Linked DNA regions of Sus scrofa. The protein of the gene in region 1 purifies or fractionates together with the protein of each later gene. This does not show direct contact. Links are inferred from orthologs where the notes say so. Each region holds a gene or a part of one and is shown in the gene's direction. Other genes may lie near its edges. The genes, in order: PPP2R1A, INTS6, ARHGEF2, SIKE1, PRR14, ECSIT and PPP2R2B.

Evidence for each region.
Region 2: the proteins of PPP2R1A (region 1) and INTS6 purify together in Homo sapiens (affinity purification with mass spectrometry; 4 studies listed by BioGRID and IntAct, with this or other methods). This does not show direct contact. The link is inferred for Sus scrofa from reciprocal best matches to the Homo sapiens genes PPP2R1A and INTS6.
Region 3: the proteins of PPP2R1A (region 1) and ARHGEF2 purify together in Homo sapiens (co-immunoprecipitation; 3 studies listed by BioGRID and IntAct, with this or other methods). This does not show direct contact. The link is inferred for Sus scrofa from reciprocal best matches to the Homo sapiens genes PPP2R1A and ARHGEF2.
Region 4: the proteins of PPP2R1A (region 1) and SIKE1 purify together in Homo sapiens (affinity purification with mass spectrometry; 6 studies listed by BioGRID and IntAct, with this or other methods). This does not show direct contact. The link is inferred for Sus scrofa from reciprocal best matches to the Homo sapiens genes PPP2R1A and SIKE1.
Region 5: the proteins of PPP2R1A (region 1) and PRR14 purify together in Homo sapiens (affinity purification with mass spectrometry; 5 studies listed by BioGRID and IntAct, counting the BioPlex papers as one, with this or other methods). This does not show direct contact. The link is inferred for Sus scrofa from reciprocal best matches to the Homo sapiens genes PPP2R1A and PRR14.
Region 6: the proteins of PPP2R1A (region 1) and ECSIT purify together in Homo sapiens (affinity purification with mass spectrometry; 3 studies listed by BioGRID and IntAct, with this or other methods). This does not show direct contact. The link is inferred for Sus scrofa from reciprocal best matches to the Homo sapiens genes PPP2R1A and ECSIT.
Region 7: the proteins of PPP2R1A (region 1) and PPP2R2B purify together in Homo sapiens (co-immunoprecipitation; 9 studies listed by BioGRID and IntAct, with this or other methods). This does not show direct contact. The link is inferred for Sus scrofa from reciprocal best matches to the Homo sapiens genes PPP2R1A and PPP2R2B.

What each region holds. Positions count from the first base shown.
Region 1 is NC_010448.4:57,929,020-57,931,484, reverse strand, and holds the end of PPP2R1A (serine/threonine-protein phosphatase 2A 65 kDa regulatory subunit A alpha isoform), read left to right. Parts: intron 1-1,309; coding exon 1,310-1,401; intron 1,402-1,525; coding exon 1,526-1,542; 3' UTR 1,543-1,965; downstream 1,966-2,465. UniProt on the Homo sapiens protein: The PR65 subunit of protein phosphatase 2A serves as a scaffolding molecule to coordinate the assembly of the catalytic subunit and a variable regulatory B subunit.
Region 2 is NC_010453.5:16,455,276-16,458,775, forward strand, and holds part of INTS6 (integrator complex subunit 6), read left to right. Parts: intron 1-1,279; coding exon 1,280-1,422; intron 1,423-1,636; coding exon 1,637-1,868; intron 1,869-3,500. UniProt on the Homo sapiens protein: Component of the integrator complex, a multiprotein complex that terminates RNA polymerase II (Pol II) transcription in the promoter-proximal region of genes.
Region 3 is NC_010446.5:94,032,891-94,036,390, forward strand, and holds part of ARHGEF2 (rho guanine nucleotide exchange factor 2), read left to right. Parts: intron 1-1,145; 5' UTR 1,146-1,166; coding exon 1,167-1,441; intron 1,442-2,293; exon of another isoform or gene 2,294-2,424; coding exon of another isoform or gene 2,425-2,430; intron 2,431-3,042; coding exon 3,043-3,160; intron 3,161-3,500. UniProt on the Homo sapiens protein: Activates Rho-GTPases by promoting the exchange of GDP for GTP.
Region 4 is NC_010446.5:105,782,796-105,786,295, forward strand, and holds part of SIKE1 (suppressor of IKBKE 1), read left to right. Parts: intron 1-604; coding exon 605-718; intron 719-3,454; coding exon 3,455-3,500.
Region 5 is NC_010445.4:17,748,581-17,752,654, reverse strand, and holds the start of PRR14 (proline-rich protein 14), read left to right. Parts: upstream 1-1,274; 5' UTR 1,275-1,394; intron 1,395-1,521; exon of another isoform or gene 1,522-1,755; intron 1,756-2,177; 5' UTR 2,178-2,226; coding exon 2,227-2,249; intron 2,250-2,373; coding exon 2,374-2,542; intron 2,543-3,127; coding exon 3,128-3,249; intron 3,250-3,321; coding exon 3,322-3,511; intron 3,512-4,038; coding exon 4,039-4,074. UniProt on the Homo sapiens protein: Functions in tethering peripheral heterochromatin to the nuclear lamina during interphase, possibly through the interaction with heterochromatin protein CBX5/HP1 alpha. Might play a role in reattaching heterochromatin to the nuclear lamina at mitotic exit.
Region 6 is NC_010444.4:70,167,963-70,172,039, reverse strand, and holds the start of ECSIT (evolutionarily conserved signaling intermediate in Toll pathway, mitochondrial), read left to right. Parts: upstream 1-1,277; 5' UTR 1,278-1,427; intron 1,428-4,077.
Region 7 is NC_010444.4:148,230,826-148,234,325, reverse strand, and holds part of PPP2R2B (serine/threonine-protein phosphatase 2A 55 kDa regulatory subunit B beta isoform), read left to right. Parts: exon of another isoform or gene 1-576; coding exon 577-770; intron 771-3,500. UniProt on the Homo sapiens protein: The B regulatory subunit might modulate substrate selectivity and catalytic activity, and might also direct the localization of the catalytic enzyme to a particular subcellular compartment.

The sequences.
Region 1 (2,465 bases):
CCTGACTGAGGCGCCACAGTCAGCAGAAAGGGAGGCTTCGGCACAGCGCTGGTTAGGACATTGCTCAGTGGGACAGAGTCGCGGGCACGGGCGCAGCCCCTCCCTCGTGTGTGTGACAGCAGGTGCCACTGCAGTGCGTTGGGGGCACCGTAGGTGTTGGCGCAGGGGCTGGGTCAGAAGGGCTCACCTGAAACAGGCTCCGTCCGCAGGGCTGGGCGAAGAGCGCTGGTGTGGGTGGCAGGGCGGGAACCCTCGTGTGTTGCCAGTGGGGCTGTGAGTGGTAGATGGGCACAGTGACTGAGCATTGGTAGCATCGAGTGGAGCCGATCCAACGTGCACCCTGTGAGCCAGCACGTCCTCTCCTGGGTGTTCGTCCAAGAGAAACGAGTGCTTTTTTTCTAGCAAAGGCCGTTCACGGGGGCTTTATTCTCATTAGCCGTGACTTGGAAATAGCGTACGTGCCTGTCTCGAGCGGTGCCTGGGTTGTGGGCTATTCACATGCTGAGAGGCTCGTCCTGCAAAGATGAGACGCCTGCTGCCTGCAGCAGCCTAGGGGACTCAGGTGGGCACTTGCGTGAGCAGCAGGCCCAAGAAAACCTCTCCTGGGATCCGTTTATGTCACCTGCAGACCTAAAGGGCCCTCTTGGTGAGAGAGGTGAGAATAGCGGTTATGTTGAGGGCAGGGCAGCTGCCTGTCAACTGGAGGGGGACGCATGACGCCTGCACCTCTGACCTCTTTGTCTGGGACACAGCTTCACACCTTTAGTTTCTCTCTGAAGCCCACCTGCCTTTCCCGCAACAACGGGCCATCTGCCAGGATGCATTTCCCTGGACCCCTTCCTCCCTGGGCCCCTATCTCCTCTGGCCCCTTGCTCCCCTGGCCCCTTGCTCCCTTGGCTGGAGGCCGAGGGCTGCCCCCTTTGCCACGTGCCCCTCCTGTTCCTCATCATCAGTTGGCTCAGGTCTCCCTCCCAGCCCGGCTCCGTGTGGGTGAGAGTCAGGGTGGGATTTCCAGTGTTGACACCTAACTCGCCGCCCGTCAGCCTCCGTAAATGCAGTACATGAATGAAAGGCATCTGGTGGCCAAGGCCGGAGACCCAGGGCATCTGGGGTCCCTGCCCAGGTTTCCAGGCCCTCCGACCTCCTGCACCTGTTCTGGGCCCTGGAGGCCTCTGCCGGGTTCGTCAGGCATCCAGCCTTGGAAGCGATCGTCTCTCTGGCCTCAGACCTGGAATTCACGCGTGTGTCTGTCTGTGGGCACCTCGGCCCCAGCCCCGCCCGCCTGACCCCTGGCCCCCTCTCCTCCCAGCACGCTGCAGAGCGAGGTCAAGCCCATCCTAGAGAAGCTGACCCAGGACCAGGACGTGGACGTCAAGTACTTCGCCCAGGAGGCTCTGACTGGTAAGGCGTTGAGGACGCCGGGCCCCAGCGGGAGGGTGGGCTGCCAGCCCGGTGGCAGAGGCGGGGGCAGCGGAGCGCAGAGGGGGGCGGCTGTTCTGACTCCCGCCTCTTCCTGTTCCCCCAGTTCTGTCGCTCGCCTGATGCTGAAGAGGAGCCATGGCTGCCTGTGGTGTCACCCTCCCCTGAAGTCCCTCCCTCGGGAGACAGTGGGGGGCCTTAGGCTGTCGCCCCCCGTGCATGGTCTGACCCCAGGCCCCTCCCCCAGCACGGTTCCTCCTCTCCCCGGCTTGGGAACCCAGCTCGTCACCGTCCGCCTCCCAAGGGCTGGGGGTGCACCCGGAGGGACGGGGCGTGACCCTGGGGGAAGGGCCTGCTGCGGCCTGCGCTGGGGAGAGACGTGAGCAGCCCAGGTCGCCGGCTCCTGCTGCTGTAATGGGGACCCCTCCCCCATCGACTTCTCCACCCCCTTCCTTCCCCTCCGTGGTTTTTTTGTGTCAACTGTGCCGTTTTTATTTTATTCCTTTCCCCCCCTTTTCACAGAGAAATAAAGGTCTAGAAATAGCTGGTCCTCTGGTCCTGGTCACGAGCGTGGAGGTGGGGCACCACGTCAGGCCCCGCAGCCTGGCCTTTCTGGGGAGGACCTCGTCACTGCGCTTGCCGCACTGCGTGTCCCCAAGAGGGGTGGGATGCGGACGGGATTGGCCGGCCCACAGGGCCAGCTGTCCTGAGGGGCAGCTGCTCCACAGACGCGGAGCGCGCAGAGCATGTGGTGGATTTGAGCAGGTGCCCCGGAGCCAGACCGCCTGCGTCGCATCCGAATCCCAGTTCCTCCGGGAACAGCTGCGTGCCCTTGAGTGGGTCGCCAGGTCCCTCTGAACTCAGGCTTGCACGCTGTCAAGTGCAGGAAGCAGTAGAATCCAGATCCAGGGGCCGGGTATGGCGGCTACATGAGTTCATACAGGTCAGGTGGGTCCCTTGGGTGGCACATGAGAGGGTCAGTCAGGGGAGCTGCGCCTTGCGGGAGAGCCCCCTGTGGGCCGGGAGGCTCAGGATAACCAAGCTGT
Region 2 (3,500 bases), on another chromosome or scaffold:
AGAATGCTGCTGTAACTTTTAAAGAATTATTACAGTAGTATTACATAATCATTGAATGAAGTAAAAAGTGACTCATCCCTCATTCTCTGCATTTCTTACTGCCGTCACTGTTGTGCCCAATTCTGTTCCCCAGAAGTAACAATCTTTGTTAACAGCTTAGTTTCCTTTTTGGCTTTCTTTATACATTCACACATATAGGCACAGACACAAACAACATCGTTTTCTTGTGATGTACTAATATCCGATAATTTAACTCTAAATGGCCAAAATATGTCATATTCTGGTATTTTCTTCTACTCTGCCCATGGCAGCTACTACGAATCAAGTCAGGTGGGAACTTAACCCTTTGCCCACTCTGATATAAGCATTTCAACTAAGCGTTCTATAAAAAGGGTAATCTACATCATTTTCCTGTAAATTATGCTATAATTATTTGGAATAGAGTAGAAGAGACACTCCTTTTCATGGAAATGTTAAACATATTGCTTGTTCTATACAGTGAAATTTGTTTTGTTTAGAAGATAATTAAGTTTTATTTTTAAAAATCTCTAGATTCTGTCACAATATTTATAATGGCAACAAACTAATGTAGGCCATGTGGTAAGGGAGGACTGCCCCCAGTAACTCCGGGGAGCAGTCATACATCAGGAGACACTATTTTTTTTCTTTTTTCTTTTTTTTTTTTTAAGATTTTAATTTTTTTTCATTATGGCTGGTTTATAGTGTTCTGTCAATTTTCTACTGTACAGCAAGGTGACCCAGTCACACATGCATGTATATATTCTTTTTTCTCACATTATCATGCTCCATCATAAGTGATTAGATACAGTTCCCAGTGCTATACAGCAGGATCTCATTGCTTATCCATTCCAAAGGCAATAGTTTGCATCTATTAACCCCAAATTCCCAGTCCCTCCCACTCCCTCTTCCTACCCCTTGGCAACCACAAGTCTGTTCTCCAAGTCCATGATTTTCTCTGTGGAAAGGTTCATTTGTGCCATAATTAGATGCCAGGTATAAGTGATATCATATGGTATTTGGCTGACTTACTTCACTTAGTATGAGAGTCTCTAGTTCCATCCATGTTGCTGCAGATGGAATTATTTTGTTCTTTTTTATGGCTGAGTAATTTTCCATTGTGTATATATACCACATCTTAATCCATTCATCTGTCGATGGACATTTAGGTTGTTTTCATGAGAAGATATTATTCGATAACCACATGGAAGGTAGTTTTAGTGAGGTTAACTTTTGTTGTTGCTCTATTCTGTTTGAAAAGATCAAGTGCACAGTGTTCCTATAGCACAAATGGGGAATTACCAGGAATACCTCAAGCAAGTACCTTCTCCACTAAGAGAACTTGATCCTGATCAGCCTCGAAGGTTGCATACATTTGGCAACCCCTTTAAGCTGGATAAAAAGGTAAATTTGGAATGTTATTTATATAATTTATTTGTGCTAGGCACTGTGAATTTAACAGTTCTTAATCTAACTCAAGTAAGCTGAAGCTATTTTCCTGGTAGAATACCTAATGTCACATAGTTAAAATATAGTTATTTTAATGGTAATTGGAATTATTTGTGCCATTTAAAAACTGTATGTAAAGACAGGGAAATTATATTCTTTCTTGTTATAGGGAATGATGATAGATGAGGCAGATGAATTTGTGGCTGGACCTCAGAATAAACATAAACGACCTGGAGAACCAAATATGCAAGGCATCCCTAAAAGACGCCGCTGTATGTCTCCACTACTGAGAGGCAGACAGCAGAATCCCGTTGTGAACAATCATATTGGAGGAAAAGGGCCACCTGTACCTATGACTCAAGCACAGCCAGATCTTATTAAACCCCTTCCTCTTCATAAAGGTAAGAGTTTGTCCTTAACATTATTTGTTGTTTTTTGATTCTTCACGGAAGAGATTTTTGTAATATATTACGGAAAAAAATCGATGAAGTCCAAGAGAAGATACTTGTTTATTCTAAATTAGCATGTAAGCATTTCTCTATATCTTTTAAATGAACGGTTATTGAACATTTCGTGCTTATTATGTTTAACAGTTATCATGATCTAAAATATCATTTGCAAATCTTAAATATTTAAAAACTACAGTTTTCTAAAGGGGTGTTATCAATACCCACAGAAAGATGGTTTTCAATTTCAGTTTAATTCAACCACTAATTTTTAAATGATACGGTTTTGTTTGTTTATGGCCACACCTGTGGCATATGGAAGTTCCTGGGCTAGGGGTCAAATTGGAACTGAAACTGAGGCCTAGGCCACAGTCGTGGCAATACCAGATCTGAGCCGCATCTGTGACCTACACCACAGCTCGTGGCAAGGCTCAGATCCTGAGCATGGCCGGGGATCAAACCCACATCCTCAGGGGAGACAGTGTCGGATCCTTGTGCTGCTGAGCCACAATGGGAACTCCATGATATGCTATTTTCGACAGTGCGAAGCACTGAGTTATAGTGGTAAACAAGACAGTGATCACTGTGCGCATTTATAATGAGTGAGGAAGGAAAGTCATCGAACATTTCACTGGAAGTATGATGAATGTTACAGAAGGGAAGTCTGGTATGTTGGGAAACATTTAGCAAGTGGATTTAACATAGTCTATGGGCACTTAGCTGAGGAAGTTATGTTTAAGCGACCACTTGAAGGATGAATGGGAATTAGTTAATAACTAAAGCTGTGCATTCGCCTGTGCTACAGTAGTCGTCTAAGAAGAATCTGTGCAAAGGCATACAGTAAAGAGCAGGACATTAGGGGAGCTGAAAGAATTCTAACACATTAGGGGTTAGGATGAGGTAAGGTGAGAACTGAAATACACATGCAGAGTCCAGATCATAGAGGGCCTTGGAAGCCACTGTAAAGATTCTAGACTTTATTCTAAGGACAAGGAAAATCCATTGAAAGGTTTTAAAGAGGTAATGATCTGATCTGATTAGCATTTTATAAAGACCAGGCTGGCCTTATTGTGGGCAAGAATGAGAATTGATATAGGAAACTCTTAATTAATGGATTTGTTAATTGCAGGTGGTGATCTTTCATGGCTAATAATGTCTTAACTGGAAGGAAATTAATATTATACCTCTTGATGGAATTATACAGTATTACTTTTAAAGTCATCTTGCTCTCCTCTTCCCAACACACGCACACACACACAAACTGACCATCAATCTAATCAAGCCTCTGTTAAGTACCAATTTTTAGGAAATATAAGGGACAGAGAAACATGTTAAATTACAAAACAGATATAATTAGCAAAATCCAGATTGCGGGAAACTATAGGACAAAGACTTTGGTGTGTGTGTGTGTGTTTCCAGAAAAAAAAAAAGTGCATGGAAAAAAAGAGGTACAGAAGGATTTTATAGATTAAAACATATAAATCAATTGCAGTGTGTTTATGGTCTGATTTGGACCCTGAACTTTCCACAGACACAGAAAATGTGGCAATTGGAGATTGTGGGCAGTGATTGGGTATTTGATACTAT
Region 3 (3,500 bases), on another chromosome or scaffold:
TTCAATGTGGCTGATGTTGGAGGCCTTCTCTTTGCTCCATGGGGAGAGGTCAGAATGACTCTCTGACTTCCCAGATGACCGGAGTCTTAGAAGGAAGAAATCATAATACTTTCTCAGTCAGGCACCTTTTCTTCCTGGTGCTTTATCTGCCTAGACTCCTCCCCTTCCAGCGTGGCCAAGTCCTAACCACTCCACCCTTCCAGGCCCACCTCAAAGGCTATTTACTTCCTCCTGTTTCCTTTTTTTTTGAATTCTCCAACTGGTTATATGCACCATTCTTTTAGGAGCACAAAGCCTTTTTTTTCTTCTTTTTCTTTTTTGGCTGCACTCATGGCATGCAGAAGTTCCCAGTCCAGGGATCGAACCTGCGCCACAGCAGCCACCTGAGCTGCACAACGCTGGATCCTTAACCTGCTGAGCCACAAGACAACTCCTATGAAGGATTTTTTTGAAATCTCTTGTGGCTTTTGGCAAACTCTGACCAGTCGTTTGTGATTTGTGTTTTTATCTATGTGCACACACGCACATGTGCACACACACTCACTTGAATGAATTCCTTGAGCGTAAGAACAATATCAGTTTCTCTTTGCTTGGCTTTTTTTCTGCCATGTAGGTGCCCTTAACTGGAATAATAATGAGTGAATGAGGATGTCATTATGTACTGGAAAGAACACTAGACTGGGAGTCAGAAAACCCAAGTTTTGGGAGCTCTGGTTGTGGCTCAGCAGAAACAAATCCGACTAGTATCCATGAAGATGTGGATTCGATCCCTGGCCTTGCTCAGTGGGTTAAGGATCTGGTGTTGCCATGAGCTGTGGTGTAGGTAGCAGATGTGGCTCAGAACTGGCGTGGCTGTTGCTGTGGTGTAGGCCAGCAGCTACAGCTCGGATTTGGCCCTTAGCCTGGAAACCTCGATATGCCGCAGGTGCGGGCCTGAAAAAAAAAAAAAAAAACTTCTAGACTTGGCTCTGCAGCTGATTCCTGGTGCGATCTTGAGCCAGCCATCCTCCAGTTCTGCGCCTCAGTGACTAGATCTAGGGAGAGGTGACTAGATTATCTCAGCCTGGCTGACTGTGACACTTTTCTGGTTCCAAGTTTCCAGAATTCTAGAACTCTGCTCACCCTTCTCTGTCTTCTTGATTCAGACTGGACTGTGTGTACCTCCCATGAACAGAGACGTCCCAGAAGTGTTCCTCGCAGGTGGAGACCTAGTGCCCCAAGGCCACACTCGCCGTTGCCTGTCTGTGGTAGAGTCCAGAGAGCAGCTGGAGGAAGAGGAAGAGGAAGAGGAGGCAGAGGAGGAAAAAAAGAAGGAGGGAGATGGTTTCCATGACGTACCCCTCCGAAGGTCGGGGGCTTTCCGTGCCCACAGCCACAACTACGACCCCTTCAAAAGACATAGTTGGGGACCAGGCAGGGAGCTCCAGGATTCACTGAGCAGGTAAACCACTGGAGGACCTCCTGTCCCTCCTTCCCTCAAGTCCTTGACCTAGGAGAAAGGGTTGGAAAGCACAATAGGAGTTGAAGTGACTTGGGCCCCTAGTCTCTCCCCTGGAGAATCTGAACCCAGGCCTGTTGTGGGCCTCCCTGGTCCATCCAGGGAGGATGGACCCTGCCTTTCAAAATATGGCCTTCAGACTTCCCATTGTGGTGCAGCAGAAGTGGATCCGACTAGTATCCATGAGGTTGTAGGTTCGATCCCTGGCCTTGCTCAGTGGGTTAAGGATTCGGCGTTGCCGTGAGCTGTGGTGTAAGTCGCAGACATGGCTCGGAGCTGGTGTCTCTGTGGCTGTGGTGTAGGCTGGCAGCTGTAGCTCCGATTGGACCCCTGGCCTGGGAACCTCCATATGCCACAGGTACAGCCCACCCCCCAAAAAATAAGCAAAATGTGGCCCTCCCTAGTGGTCCTAGCTCCTCCTTTCTACCTGGTCTCAAAGGAAGGTGTGTGAAAATGGAGCAGGAGAGGTGTGGCGCCTTTCCACATATAGTAGTGTTAGAGCTGAAAGGGGCTTGGAGATCGTATGGCACAATCTCCTCATTTCACACATGAGGAAACAGCCCCAGCGAACTTTGGGAGGTTTCTTGAAAGAGTTGGAGTGTTGAACCTGGCACTTTCCCAAATTTCTGCCTGCCTGCGGGTCCATGATGTTTGGACATCATAGAATGGCCCTGCAATGGTGGAAGAGCTGCTCTTGTGCAGGGGTTTGCATGTGCTTGGCAGACCAGAAGAGAGGGACCCAGCTCTTCCCCTCTCCTGGAAAATCCCTGGCTGACCACTTCCCCAAAGACAGAGGAAGTCAGAAAGAGAAGGTCCGGGGCTCAGTGTGAAGAGTTCAGTGTGAGTGGTCGCTGAGAGGGCCTGCTAGCCGTGGAAGGGCCCTGTCTCTCTGCTTTGGCAATGGTCCCCTTGGACAAGTTGTCTTAATGCTGGTGAGTAGACCAAGCTTTTCTAGCTCCTGGGCAGGGCTGGCTGGGCTGTGTGATGGGAGAGGATTCTTGTCCCTGAAGTGGCTTAGGTGGGAACCTGGGTGAGAAGCCTTTGTCCGCAGGACTCACCACACCTTCCTAAGAGCAGCTGGTCAAAGGCAGAGATGCCCTGAGTACCCCTTACACAGTGCCGGCTGTATCTCAGCATCTTCCAGGTGTCATCTTTCACTAGAGGCCCTAATTATACCCTTTTAGGTAAAGAAGGAACGGAACCCTGGGGACACTATTTGTCTGAGTAGGGGCCAAGATTGGCATCAGAAACTAGGCAAGGAGTGGGAATCCAGCTTGCCCTTGCCCACCCCACAATGCTGGCTTTCTTCTGACGGCAGTACTATCTTTTGACCAGCAGGGGCCACCCTTGCCTACAGTCAGCATCACAGCTTTGCCAAAGCCCAGTCCCAGAAGGGAGGCCAGTTTGGGTCTAGGCTGTGCCTGAGCCAACAGGAAGGGCTGGGCTGGGGGCAAGCAGCAGGGCTGGGCTGAGGCGGTGTTCCTCCCTGGTGCCCGTCACAGGCCGCTGGATTCAGAGGCCAGTGATGGCAATGTGCGTTTCAGGAACAAACCTCAGGCATCGGGATGCGAAGGCCCCCAGAAGGACCCCTTACAGTGGAGCCAAGAGGAACTGGACCCCTTTTTGGAACTGCAGCACCGAGGAGGCCAACCCTCCTGTGTGGTACGGACAGACAACTCCCCATGGAAGCTACCACCTTCCTCCCCTTCCCCTGATCCTTTGCCTATCCAGCCACCACTCTGTGCCTCTTCTGTTCTCCCAGCTGTTGGGTCTCTCTGTCCCCAGGCATCTCTCTGACTCCATCTGACCAAATCTGGATCTGGTGTCTGTACCCCTCTGTCTGCTTCCCCGGGTCTGTATGCTCTGTCCTCTACTCTTGGTATCCTGCCTCTGTCGTGCTGTGAGACTCTCTGTTCCATCCTTTCTGTGTCTGTGTCTCTGTGTCGATGTGGGTATCTCTGTTCCTCTCTCATTAAAAGGCCCCTGTTCCCCTATTTGTTAC
Region 4 (3,500 bases), on another chromosome or scaffold:
AAGCAAAAACTTGAACCTTGAAGGAGACAGAATTTAGTTTATATTAAAAACTTGCTGGGAGTTCCCTTTGTGGCTTAGGGGTTAACAAACTCAACTAGGATTCATGAGGATGTGGGTTCGATCCTTGGCCTCACTCGGCATTGCTGTGGCTCTGGTGTAGCTTGGCAGCTGAAGCTCCGATTGGACCCCTAGCCTGGGAATTTCCATATGCCGTGGGTGCAAGCCTAAAAAGCCAAAAACAAAGCAAAACAAAACTTGCTAAGAGATGTGACCAAAGATACAATAAGATACCTTGGAATGTGGTAAGTTTGGTGCCAATAAAAATATTTGAATTTAAGTTAAATAGCCATTTAGAGATACTCTCCAACATGCAATGAGTGTTTAGACCAGAATCGATTTTCTGGAAACAAATTACCTGTGAATATCACAAGGTAACTTTATTGTGGCTTTATCTCTGAGGACTGAGATTATAGTGAAACTTCTGTGTAAGCTCTGTAACATAGATTAAGTGAACTTTTAACATCATAGTGCACATGTTCTCATGAACTTCCTATCTGTAAAAAAAGATGACTTTTCCACCTTTTTTTTTTTAATATCATCACAGGAAATTGAGAGTCAGATTGACAGAATCTGTGAAATGGGAGAAGTGATGAGGAAAGCAGTTCAGATGGATGATGACCAATTTTGTAAGATTCAGGAAAAACTAGCACAATTAGAGGTAAAATTGTTGCTATTTTAGGTTCACAATATTTTTTGTTGTTATTGTTTGGTGGGGGTTTGGGTTGTTGGAGATTTGTGTGTGTGTTGTTTTTGTGTGTGTGTGTGTGTGTCTTTTTGCCTTTTCTAGGGCCGCTTCCTAGAGGTTCCCAGGCTAGAGGTCTAATCAGAGCTGTAGCCAATGACCTACCTCACAGCCACAGCAGTGTGGGATCCGAGCTGCGTCTGCAACCTACACCACAGCTCACGGCAATGCCGGATCATTAACCCACTGAGCAAGGCCAGGGATCGAACCTGCAGTCTCATGGTTCCTAGTCGGATTTGTTAACCACTGCGCCACGACGGGAACTCCTGTGTGTGTTTTTTAATGGAAGCACCTGTGGCATATGGAAGTTCCCAAGCCAGGGACTGAATCTGAGCCCCAGCTCCAACCTATACCACAGCTGCAGCAATTCCAGATCCTTTAACCCACCATACCAGGCCAGGGATCAAACACATGCCTCCACAGCAACTCAGACTGCTAAAGTTGGATTTTTAACCTTCTTCACCCCAGCGGGAACTCCAGGTTCACAATAATTTAGGGAGTTTTTAGAGTCTGGAAGGTATGTCTTCACTGTCCTATCACTGCAGTGTATTGATGTTTTCTCTGTGCTCTGATTTAAAATTAAAGCACATCTCCTGGGAGTTCCCATTGTAGCACAGCGGAAATGAGTCTGACTAGTATCCATAAGGATGTGGCCTCGCTCAGTGGGTTAAGGTTCCAGCATTGCTGTGAGCTGTGATGTAGGTCCCAGGCATGGCTCAGATTCTGTGTGGCTGTGGCTGTGGTGTAAGCTGGCAGCTGTAGCCCCGATTCGACCCCTAGCCTGGGAACTTCCATATGCCATGGGTGTAGCCATAAAAAAAAAAAAAAAAAAGCACATCTTCCTTACCCTTTTCATGAAAGGAAATGTAATCAGCAGCAAACTGAAGATGCCAAGTATGTATTGGCTAGAAATTGAGATGTCACATCAGGAGGGCAGAGAGAGGACAAGGGACAGATTACATGTAAGCAAAAAATCCCTCATCTGCTGCAAAAAGATTTCAAATAGATAATGTCTAATATTTTGATTAAGATGGGAATAATTTACAAAGAAGAGCCTGGGATGTTAGTGTTCCCGTAAAATGGTTAAGCAACAATGTTGTAATAGATGACTTAAATGTTCCTTATTACAGGGTGCTGTCATGGACCTTTGACGAATATGAGCAAGAAAAAGATAGGGTCCCTGCTCAGAACCTGATGAAAGGAATTGTACTAGTACTTGTTTTGGTACAAAATGGTATATAAATGCTAAAAGAGAGACACAGGGTATTGAGGGAAGCACTTTGTATGGCAAAAGTGTTAATGAGCATGGGCTCTAACCCTTAGTGAAACCTGAAAATGCTGTGGTTTACTTAGAATTTCCTGCTGAGAGAATAAGGGTGAAGAGTGCAAGCGGCCCTATCTGAAAATCAAAGGGAGTGACAAGGTCCCAAGTAGGAACTAGGAGTTAGTTAAAATGATAGAATGACCTTGTCTACATCCCTAATTTATCTTAGTTATGGAAACAGGCCTAAGGAAATGTGTGACACATTTTACTTAATACTTTTTGTTTTTCTTTTTCTTTTTTTGCTTTTTAGGCATATGGAAGTTCCCAGGCTAGGGGTCAAATCAGAGCTACAGCTGCCTGCCTACACCAGATCCGAGCTGCATCTGCGCCCTACACCACAGCTCACGGCAATGCTGGATCCTTAATCCACTGAGCGAGGCCAGGGATCGAACTGCAACCTCATGGTTCCTAGTCGGATTCATTTCCGCTGTGCCACAACAGAACTCCTACTTAATACTTTTAATGCTGACAAACATGGGTATTGGATTGAGGCCCCAGCAATATGACATCTGAGTTTGAACAAGTTTTGGGACTTCTGTAAGCCACAGTGTCCTCATCTCAAAGAGAACACAGACATAGGCAATGGTACCTACCCTCTGTGTTGTATGAGATGATGTATGCAGGATGTCCATGCAGTACCTTGCTATGTGCCCGATAATTCTGCTCCGCATTTCCTTCCTTTCTCCAAAACTGTCGGACATCTAGGAGAGAAAATTGAGCAGAATGAAAGTGTTGTTAGGAATTGAAGAGATAAAAGAAACAAAAGTAAAACTTGTGGGAACTATGAAGAGTTTGACAACCAGTCAGTTCCTGAAGTGGAGAGGGACCTTGTTTTTTCCTTGTAGTCCTAACACATGGCATATAGAACTTACTCAAATTCTTAAATGAATTTTAAAAAATAGTATTTTAGGAAATTCTCAGTTCTTTTGTTTCCTCGAAACTTTTAAAATATTTAAAACAATATGCTTTCTGGAGTCCTGTTGTGGCACAGCAGAAACAAACCCAACTAATATCCATGAGGACACGGGTTCAATCCCTGGCCTCACTCAGTGGGTCAAGGATCCGGTGTTGCCATGAGCTGTGGTGTAGGTCATAGACGTGGCTCAGATCCAGCGTTGCTGTGGCTGTGGCGTAGGCCGGCAGCTGCAGCTCCCACTTGACCTCTAGCCTGGAAACTTGCATATGCCACGGGTGCAGCCTGGAAAAAAAAAAAAAAAAAAGGAAAAAAAATAACAATATGCTTTCTGTTTCAGGGCCAAAACAATGTGTTCTGATAACAGTTTGACAGTCAAAATACCTGACATTAACAATGTACTTTTTTTTTCCAGCTTGAAAATAAGGAACTTCGAGAGTTACTGTCCATCAGCAGTGAGT
Region 5 (4,074 bases), on another chromosome or scaffold:
ATGGAGGTTCCCAGGCTAGGGGTTGAATTGGAACTACTGCTGCTGGCCTACACCACAGCCACAGCAAAAGCAATGTGGAATCTGAGCCGTGTCTACAACCTACACCGCAGATCGAGACAATGCCAGGGCATTAACCCACTGAGCGGGGCCAGGGATCGCACTCGAATCCTCGTGGATGCTAGTCAAATTCGTGTCCACATTCACTGAGCCACAGTGAGAAATCCCTGTGTCACTACTCTTATCATTTAATCTCATAGGCGAGAATCATGCTGGGCTGGGTTAGGTCACTTGTGCACCGTCATCTCAGACGCAGGATTCTAGGCTTCAGGCTCTCTTGCTCCAGCAAGAAAATAAGTACTAGCTTGGACCAGGGAATCCTGGGGAAGGAGTGGAGGCATGAGTTTTGGTTAGGCGGTGAGGGTGCCTTCACAGTGCAAGAAGCCACTACCTCCCCACCACCAGCTGGCTCCTGGTATAAAAGTTTCAGGATGAAGCCCCTTTAAGCAGCAGGATTCCATCCCTGGTCCCTTACTACTATGGGACTGATTACACAGCCCATCAGCTAGGTCCCTCTTGAAAGAGGGCTCGGGGGAGGCCCGAAAAGAGAGGAAAGCGGCCGCACCCCACCGAGCACCCCAAGGTTGTTATTGGTCTCCTGGCACTAGCACCTCTATACTGAGCCCCCAGCGCCAGCGGCAGAAACCCCCGCTCCTCCAGGAAGAGGTACACAACCCTTGGGTGAAGTGAAGCTCAACGCCCCAGCCTCCTCCGCACCCCCGCTCAGCCCAGTCCCTCCAGGACGCCACGCAACCAGAGAAGCAGGAGGTGGCACCAGCCTGTCTCTGGTCCCCGCCACCCGCTGCCAAACACTTCCGTGCAACTCGGGAACCCGGTTCAGCAACCCACGATGGTACTGGAAAAGGCTTCAAAGGGGCCTCTCTAGGCAACTGGGAATTTCACATATCGTTAGCACTCAGTTCACGTTTATTGGCCCAAGTACGAAAGAACCGGAAGATGCCCTTAAAAAACGTGGCGGTACTCTAGCTTCATGACAGTTGCCTCAGTAGCTCAAGAACCTTGGCATCATCTTCGGCCACTCACTGGCCGGAAAAGATGACGCCATCCGGCCCACTGCGGTCCACTGAGGACAGCGCTATCTGCCCTCAACTATAATGGCGGCGCTGCCCAATTTGGCTTCTTGCCCCTAGGGATGATGGCCGCTAGGCGGCTTCACTTAGTTTCTCACCACCCCGGAAGACGGCGACCGGCGATTGGGCGTTGCCCAAAGGCTCTGAGAAGAAGGCCCTCGGCGGTTGGGCAGAGCTGGGTAAGGCTAGTTTTAAAGGAGCCGGAGGTGGGAGCCGTCGAAGACCCGGGATCCGCGGGAGGCGGCGGTGAGCGGCGCGCGGGGGAGGGCACCGAGCGGCTGAAGAGAGGGCGGGAGGAGGGAGGGAAGGAAACTTTTGAACCATCTGGTCCCGGGCTGGGGAGAGCGCTGGGCGGGGATCCGGGGAGGGCGGAGGGAGGGGGTCTGTGGGCGGGACCTCCCGGGATTGGAGTGAAGGGGGTATCTGCTTGACAGTGGATCCCCGGGGATCCGGACTGAGTTTGTGATGCTCAAGCTCGGGCAGCCCCTTTCTGAGTGGAGCTTTGTGGAGCCGAAGCTCACGGGGAGAGGAGGATCCTCGCGCGGCGTCTGACTGGAGGAACCGCGCTATAGGATTCTTTCAGCGGGGATCCAGTCTAGGGGATCTGGTAGGGGGGGAACCGTCGGCGTGTGGGAGTGTTCCTTCGGAGTCCTCGCCCACTCACTGGGAGTGGATGAGGATTACAGAGGGATCTGGCGGAAACTGAGCCTCTGAGGACCGGGATCCCAGCTGATCCCGGGGGATCTCAGGGCAGAATCTGAAGGGACAAAGGCCCCAGGAGGCTTGGGCCGTGGGAGAACTGGGGCCGCTGCAATCCAGGTTCTCGCGGCCAGGCAGGGCGCGAGTGATCCACTGATCGCGGCAGCAGCGGGAAGACACCCGTTCCCGGCGGCCAGACGAGGGCGCCCTTCCGAGCCCCAGGGCTCCGGCCCCTGGGCTACTGGGAGCCTCGGGCGGACCATGAAGGGCGGAGCCCCAGGGGAGGGGCTGGCCCTCACTCCCCGCTCCCCCGCTCCCCCCCAAACCCAGGCTGGAGCCTGGGATCCCCCAGGGACTCCCCGGAGCCGCCGCTTCCCCCATGGACTTGCCCGGGGACTCCAGGTGAGAGCGCACCCCGCCCGCCTGTCTTGAGCCCGGGAAACGGGGAGCCTGGTGGCCGTACCGGGGAAACCACAGAGCCAACAACAGGCTTAGAGGACCGTCCTCTGCTTCTCTCCACCTCCAGCCCGCCTGGCCGGCAGCGTCTGTGCCGCCAGCCTCTGGCTCGAGCATTATGGGGAGCCAGGAGCCCCAAACGGCCGAAACTGCAGCCCCTTGGGGCCCCTTCGCCCTTGGAAAAAGCCTCTCGGCGGGTCCTGGCTGTGGTCCTGGAAGATGTCATGGCTGCCCACATGGTGAGCCCCTTGAACTGAGAGGCCCCCTTCTCCCTCCCGTCTCCTGGGTACCAAAGCCAAACCCGTTCTTTAATGAGGATAACAAACACCTCATTCTCACACTCATCCATCAGGCAGCCTCCCACTCGGCTCTCACTTACTCTAACCTGGAAGTGGGTAGGGTCTCCTGGACCCATTCCTCACCACCGACTCTGCTGGGCTGAAACCACGTCCCTACGACTCTAAGTATGAGAAACCCTTCTGCTTTCTTCCCAGCCCAACTTCTAAACAACCCTTAGGAAGCAGGCTGAGGTCTTTGGTTCCACTGCTCAGATTAGAAAAACTGAGGCCCCAAATAGGGCAGTGACTCTCTCTGGGTACCTTCTCCTTTTCATTTCTACAAAGAAACCTGGGTGAATATTACCCAAGTCCCACACCAGCAGCTCAAGACACTCTATTATCTGGTCCTTAATTCAGCTCAGCTGACTTCTTGGGCTCGCGAATGAATTCTAGGCACGATGTCTGCCATCTGTATGGCAGAGGACACTGTTAGGCCCAGGGAAGCCCTGTCCGTCACCTTGCTCTCGACACCTCCTCCTCTCCTAGGTTCCCCTGGTGCCCCAAGAGGAGATCTCCACCCCACGGCACCGCAGCAACCATCAGGATTCCGCCCGAAGCCAGCCACCTGCCTCACCACCCCGACAAGCCACGTGGTGCTCACAGGCCAGGTGAGCATGGCAGGATGAGGGGTAAGCTGGGAACCCAGCTGAGCCCTACTGATCTTCCTGTTCCGTCCCTAGGCCCCCCGACCCACTGCGCTTATGCCGAGAGCCCTTGAGCCGTGTCCATCGGCCCCCTTCCACCCTGAGGCGGCGTTCAAAGCCAACACCTGGCCCAGAGGAAGGCCCTTCACAAAAGGTGGACCAGGCCCCCCAGCCCACTCTGGTGGTGATGCTAGAAGACATTGCCAGCCGCAGAGCCCCGGTTGAGGTATGCGAACTTCAGAGAATGATGTTGGGGGTTCAGCTGGGGGCAGGGGCTCCAGCGGGCATGGAAGACAGAGTAAAAGGGCTGAGTCGGGGGTGGATTTTTTTTTTTTTCCTTTTCTTTTTTAGGGCCGCACATGCAGCATAAGGAAGTTCCCAGGCTAGGGGTCGAATCTGCTGCAGCCATGGCAATGCCGGATCCAAGGCACATCTTCGACCTACATCACAGCTCATGGCAGCGCTGGATCCCTAACCCACTGATCGAGGCCAGGGATCAAACCTGCATCCTCATGGAAACTAGTTGAGTTCGTTACTGCTGAGCCACAACAGGAACTCCTAGGGTGGATTTTGCTCAGAGTGAGAACAGTTTTAGGTGAAAGAGACCTCTGCCTGAGCAAAGACCTATATGAAAAAGCCTTTAGCGTGAACCTAGGCAGGCCTCTGGCGACTGAGAGATTCGGAGTGTGAGGAGCTAAAGAAGCCGCAGGGGCCTTCCCTGCCTGCCCACGAACATCCCCTGTTTACATCCAGGGTTTTGCCGGTGAGACGCCCAACTTCATCGTCCCA
Region 6 (4,077 bases), on another chromosome or scaffold:
TGTTACAAACACATACCAACAGCTGGACACAACTACATAATGGAATCCCACATCAGAGACCACCCCAGATTGGCATTGTCAGTCAGACCTTTATACCACCGCTGAGACACAGAGTTTCACACACACACACACACACACACACACACACACACACACACACGAAGTCAGAGATTCATATAGGTACAGGCACACACTGGTAGACACAATCACACACAGATATGTAAAGGGCTATAACAGTCACATGTGTCTTGATGGTGGGACAATCATTTATCCACAAGTTGGGGACACATGGGGTGTCATAAACACAGTCATCTACCCACTAGTGTTCAGACATGCAATCACACACACATTATTGCATGGACCATCAAAGAAATGTTGACACACCTAATCCCAGCCCCTCAGAATTCTGGGACAAATTCCACATCCTTCCACACACACAGAATGACAGACACCCAGAAGCTGATACAATCACAAGTGCACATGCAGCTACTGACACGTGGACACACAAAGTCCCACATGTACCAATGTCCACACTGACACACGTGGGGACTATCCCTGACCTACCCTCATACAGCCACACACAAACGTACACACCTTTGTTTGAGTTCTGAGAAACTACGAAAACCCATGAAAACATCCACACTCTATCGCAATCTCACACACACATACGCACACACACACAATTGTGAACATGCACACTACCCTACAGGATCCTCAACCGTCCAAGCGAGGGAGGTGGAATAAGGTATTAGTGTGAATCCCCCATAATAACAGTAGCAAACGCTTACATGGCTGTTCTGCATAGATTAACTCCATTATTCCATAAAACAAAGCCCAAAAAACAAACAAAACAAAAAACAAAAAACCTCTACGAGGTTATTATAATTGGCCATTTCAGAGGTGAGACTATTGAGGCACAGACAGGTTAAGCACTAGTCCAGACTCCAGGAGCTAGATTAGCAGTCCTTCTTCTTCCCTAACGTCAGCGCCGAATCAGCGCCTGGCACACAGTAAGCCTTCAAATGTTCGTTGAAAAAATGAGGGAATCCACATTACTTAGACCTTTAATATTTCATTCCCGTATTTCAGGTGGGCACTAGGACTGTCAGTTGAGTTCACCCGCTGCCTGAGTCCAATGTCCCAGCTCCGAAACCGCACAGTCTCTCCTTCCCGAACCAAGCTCGCTCATTCGTGGGGAGTCCAGCTTGCCTCGTTAGGGGAGGGGCCTGACTCACCACGAGGCGGGGCCAAGGTCGCTGCGCCTTTTTATTGGTGCTCCTTTCTTCGAGGCGGGACCTCTCTTAAACTGGCGCTGTTGATTTGCCGGCTCCCTGGTGGCCCGTGACCCAGAAGATCTTCGTGCAACATGGCGGCGCCCAGGGGCAAGACATAACCGGCCCGGATTCCGCGGCCGTCCGCGTGAATAGGTAGGTCCCACGCGGGGAGGCAAGCGTGAATTTATGAGCCCTGGGGCAGCCCCTTTGGGGCCAGCAGCGCGGAAGGGCGGCCCCAGGAGGATCCCGGCTGCCGGGGCCAGGGCACCGTGACCTTTTCGGGTACACGGCGGGACGTTCCGAGGAGAGCTGCCTTCTGTGTACCCGCCTCCCCACATCCCTAATCTCTAATCTTGGAGATGAGACAGCTGAGGCTCAGAAAAGTTAAAGCCGTCTCCCAAGGTCACGCCACAGGTTGGCAGCTAGGCTAAAGTTCGCTTCTTTCTCCCAAGGGCGTCAAAATCCTAGCAGCCAGCCTCAGAGCTGCTGTAGGTACACCCTGCCTAGGGGTTCAGATTTATAGAAGCTTTGTAGAAATTTAGCTCTTCTTATTCATTTGATATTTGTTGGGTACCTACTATATAGCAGGCACTATCCCAGGTGCAAAAGAGACAGCAAAAAGGAAGACAGACAAAAATCTCTGGTCTCAGGAGAGCTAGACGTTGAACAAATCAGAAGTAAATGAAACGTGACTTCAGATGCTAATTGCTAAAAATTCATTCATCAGGATGATGGGGCTTTAGATTGGGAATGGGGCAGTAGTCAGGGAAGGCGTCTCATTTGAATATAGACCTGAATAACCAGGCACAGCAATGAACTGACCTGGGGAAGGAATTTCCAAACAGGGAAAAGCAACCTCAGAGGCTCTGAGACTAGATAAAGTCAGCTTGTTTAAGAAACAGCGTAATGGGAGAGTTCCCTGTTGGTCTAGTGGTTAGGATTCAGAGCTTTCACCTCTGCAGCCTGAGTTCAACCCCTGATCTGGGAACTGAGATCCCACAACAAGCTGCTGCACACTGCAGCCAAAAATAAATAAAAATTAAATAAAATTTAAAAGAGAAATAAATGGTGTAGCTGGAGCTTCCAGTAATAACAGTTGAGTTTGGAGGGATGGAGCCTGTCTGATTTTTATCTCATGTGATGTGCAATTAGTGACTTTAGCCGGAGAACACTTTAGTTTACATTTTAAAAAAGCTCCCTATGACCACTTTAGGGAGAACTGGCTGGAGGCAGGTAAGGAAAGGAGTGTGGGTAGATGAAGAGAGGTCATGGACTGGAGTTGTGGCTTGCAGATGGAGAGAAATGGGATTGTTTGAGGTGGATCTGGATGTAGCAACATGAGCAGCTGATGAATTGGTTGGGGAAGTGAGGAACACAGTGGACTCAGAACCAGGTTTGTGGTTGATTGACTAGGAATGATGGTGTAATGACATCAGGCAAGGATGAGATGGAACAAGTTTAAGCAGGGGCATAAGTTAGGCGCAAAATAAGTTTGAGATGGCTAGGTATACACCAAAGTGGCAGTTAGGTATGGAAGCTGGAGCTCAGGGATGGTGATAACCATTGGGAACTATCAGCACATAGATCTTCATTTCTCAGACTTTAACACACATAAGAGAAATGTGGACTTTTGTTTAAATGCAGATTCTGCTTCAATAGGTCAGGGTTAGGGCTGAGATTCTGCATCCAAATAATGATGCCAATACAGCTGCTCCCTGAATAGCAAAGGTTTAGATTAAGGTCTAATCTCAGCTGGATGTTAGAGTCATTGGAGTGCTTTAAATGCTGATGCCTGGGCCCTACCTCTAGATATTCTGATACAATATATCTGGGGTATGGCCTGGGCATGTGATTCTTTAAAGCTTCCTAGATAATGCTGAAATGAACAAGGTTTGAGAACTATGAGAGCTGCCTACAGAAATACAGAGAGAACACCTCTCTTGGAAGCTGAATGATACCTTACGGTAGCAGACAGACAAGTTCAAAGTGTAGGACTCTTTGCAGCATTATTACTCAAAAGACAGCATTAAGCATCACATAGAAGTTTGTTAGATTAAAAAAGTCTTTGGCTCCACCCTAAACATTCTGAATCAGAACCTGCATTTTAACAATATTCTCAGCAATTCATCTGCACATTCAAGTCTGCAAGCACTGCACACTTTAGAGAAGGAAGCCAGTCTTTCTGATTGGCTGAGAAACAGGCCTGGGGGCTAGGAAGAAAATCAAGAGTGCCAAGGTGGGAGGAGGGCATCACCCATTCCAGATACTTCTGAGAAACTGAGCAAAATGAGGCCAGAGAAATAACCACTGGCTTTGTTAAATGTAGAACGTGCAAGGGGTCTTTACAGGAGTGGTGTCAGTGGAGTGGCTGGGACAAGAGCCAAACTGGAGACAGTGAAGAAGTAACATGTAGACCCCTCTTGGGAAAAGCTGTACTATAAATAGAGCAGAGATGTGGAACAGAGGTGGAAGGAGATGCTAGAGAAAGTTTAAAGGGTGATATGAGTGATCCAAGTATGTACCAACTTATTTTATGAGGCCAGCATTACCCTGATACCAAACCAAACAGACACAATAAGAAACAAAAACTACATCCCAATATCCCTTACCAATATGGTTGCAAAAATCCTCAACAGAATACCAGCAAACCAATTTTGGCAACATAAAAAAAGATTATATACATCATGACCAAATGGAATTTATCCCAGAAATGCAATATTGGTTTAATATTTGAAAACCAATTAATGTAATGTACTTTTCTTTTTTGGTCTCTTTGGTCTTTTTAGGGCCACACCCGCAGCAT
Region 7 (3,500 bases), on another chromosome or scaffold:
CAGCCTCCTCCTGCAGCAGCAGCAGCAGCAGCAGCAGCAGCTGCTGCGAGTGCGCGCGAGTGGGTGTGAGGGTGAGTGCGCTGGCGCCGGCCGCAGCGCCCTGCCCAGCTCCCCGCGGCTGCTGAGCCCCCGCCAGCAGGAGCCGCCCTCCCGTGGGACCAGCACCCTCATCCGGGCCAGGCCAGCCTGAATCCTGCCCCTGCCATCTCGCCACTGCAGCTCGGTCCAGAAAGGCACCATTTTGTCGCGGCTGCCCGCTCTCCCAGGGGGAGGAGGGATCTTTTTTGCATTTTGGAGCGGCTGCCAACGAGGGGAACCTGTTGGGCATCTCCCTAGCCCCGCTTGTGAGCGCCTCCGGGACGGCGGGTGGGACCAGACCCCTCGGGGCACGGCGCATCTTGGCACCCGGAGGCAGCGGAGGCAGGCACAGCATCCTCGCTGGGAATTGGAGCTGGAGTGAGCGCACCGCGGGAGGAGCCGCCGCCGCAGCCTCGGAGATCCCGAGTGGAGGAGGTGACAGCTCCATTGCCGGGTTTTTATTTTTTTTCTCTCTCCGCCTCCCCGTCTCCTCCTCAGGCTCGGACCATGGTGCAGTCCCACTGGCTCCCCTGCCCCCCTCTCCTGTGACACTGGCTGCGGGGAGGGATCATGGATACTTGTCTGCCGGCTTCTGGTTCCCACGCAAGTAAGCCTGCTGTCAATGGAGGAGGACATTGATACCCGCAAAATCAACAACAGTTTCCTGCGCGACCACAGCTATGCGACCGAAGGTAACGCCAGCCCCCGCTGCATTCCGCCGCTGGGGCCGGGCGCAAGTTGCGGATCGCTGAGCTCCGCTGGCAGCCTGGCGCGTAGCGGCCGAGACTCCTCCGGGCCCCGGGGCTGGGGCGGGGGCTCGGCCCGCAGGGGCAGCCGCCGACGGAGCGCCGCACATCCATCCGGGCTCCGCGAGGCGGGCCGGGCGTTCAGCAGCAGGTGGACCCGGCGCCCATGGGAGTTAAAATGGCCCTCGGGGATTAGGTTTTTCAGGGTGGGGCTCCCGGCTGGAAAAATGACCCCCCCCCCAAAGGCGGTTGACCCCTCCCCCTAGACGTATGCAGAGGTCTTGTGGGGAGGTAAGAAGGAAAGGGGCCCAAGAAAACCGCGAGTCTTCCCTCCCGGAGCGGAATGATGCGTCTCTCAGTGGCTGCAGGGAGGGCACGGTTTCATTTCCTGCCGGTTCATCTATCCGGCCGGGTTACCTGCTCAGACAATCAAAAGCCCAAAAGGCCTGAAAAAGGGCGAACCCCTCTCCTCTTGGAAGTGCATTAGTAAGGTATCGAAAGGTGGCTGGGGAACCAGGGTTGGGGCTGCAAGCGAATGAGTCTGACACGTGGGAGAGCGATGCGATCCGTGGAGCCTTTAAAAATCACCATTATGAATTCTGCAGCGGTAGTTTCTGCTGAATCAACAGCCAGCAGAAAGCAAGAGGGCTCAGTAAGCTGAGCTTTGCCAAGAGGTGAAATTGTCGTCTCTCTCCCTCTCCCCCAGCTTGTTCTGACATTAGCCTGGGTGAGGTGTAGGCAGGAAAGGAAAGTCAGCAGGTGGAATCTCATTTGCCTTTTGTGTGGGAATAGAGAATGGAGACATTTTTTAAAAAAATACCCCAACTTTTGCCTTTTTGCTTTCATTTTCCACCTGTAGGCCTTTATCCTTAACCACTCCTCCAAGGCGTTGCGTTGTCACATTGCAGTATCCATTTGAGAAAATGTGTGTGAAAGTCCTTTAGGAAAATGTGGCATGGCGTGCTAATTTAAGATTATTCTTGTTATTCTTAGGTGCTCAAATTTCTACAGTATTTAATCACATCAAGTCTACTAGACAAATCGAATGGGGGTGGTAAAAGAGTTCAAGTTCTGAAAGAAATAAAAAAGACACACAATTGGAGGGTAGAGGTGGCATCTGCTGTAGACATCCCTGGAAGTTTTAGACAGAAAGCATGGCTAGCGCTATTGAAAATAAAGGTGCTTCATTCATCATTATTGGAGAGCATCACACCCAATACGTCCATGGTGCAGGGCAGACTGTATGAGCTCTGGCCTTCAGAAGCTGGGAGATGGCTTTTAGGATGTTCCTACCCCATACCAAGCATCATACTTGCTGATTTTTTTTTACTTCCCTGGTGCCAGCATGGTTGTATATGTTCTTCCCCCGTCTCAGTGCTTTGTCACTGACTCACCAGTGAACATGGTTAGCTCTTTGCCTGAGCATGTCACCCAAAAGAGAAGTCGGCTTTGGGTCTATTGTCTTCTAAGGCACACTCTTTTTTTTTTTTTTTTTTTTTCCTATTCAAGACAACAAAGATAGGAGGCTGCCTTCATGTTTTCTTCTGTATTGCATTACGCCTCCAGGTACAGGCAAAGGAAACTTACTGAGCTGGGACGATGGGAAAATTGAGGCCATGTGTGTAAGAGTGTCATCTATAGAATGAAGAAATGAGTTACACATGGCTTTCCTTGTTGCTTTCAGGGCCCTAGGTACTTCCTAATCTTCCTTCCTATCTTATCGCATTTTTATATGCCCTGGTAGAACCAGATACAATATCACATACAGTATCTGGGTTCATATTGTCCAAAAGGAGGCATGAGTTTATAGCAAAGAACTTTCTAAAATCTTTCCAAATCAGCCTCTCAGATCACTCCCCTCCCACTGTCTCTCCCTCTTCCCCCACCCCCCGCCCCCACACCACATTTAAAACTCATAAACCTTTATTTCACCATATCCTTCCGGGTGTCTTTACCTGATCTTAGTGAAGGTCTGGGAAGAAAAGAAAATGGAATGTGGACAATGTAAATTGCCTTTCTACTTGCAACCCCTAATTGCATTTTAGGGACCATTCATGCAGTTCTGGTGGCCAGAGTGGGGAGAGTCTCCTCTATGGATGAATATCTTCAAAGTGCTTGTACACCTTGAAAGAGCTCCAGGTCACAGTACTCTTTGTTAAAATCCTCTTCGTTGGGGGCTTGCCCCCAAGTTCTCTTCCTCTTTATTAACTTCAACACACCTTCTGGGGAATTAGTTTCTGGGTCCTTCTATAGACTTGGCTTCTCTTTTTGTCTCCTGTAATATTTCTGCCTTTTCCTGCCTTGCCCAGATATGTCAGATTTTTTTCTGTCTCTCAAATCTCCTTCACAGTTATCTCTGAATTTTTCTTCCGTTAACTCAGATCATTCGACACTGCAGTATTCTATTTAAAGCTGAAAGATTTTTGCTGTGTAGTTAGTGCGAAGGACTCTAAGCTCAATTTGCATTGTAAGTGGTAGCTGCAGGCAAGTTCATCCAGCTAAGAGCAATGCAAATGCTAAAGGACACTTTTACCCCGGCTCTCTCTCCATCTCTCTCCCTCCCTCTCTCTCTCTCTCTTACCCTCTCCCTTCCTCTCTCTCTTCCCCTTCCCCCCTCCATCTCTCTCTCTCTCTCTCTCTCTCTCTCCATCTCTCTCTCTCTCTCTCTCTCTCTCT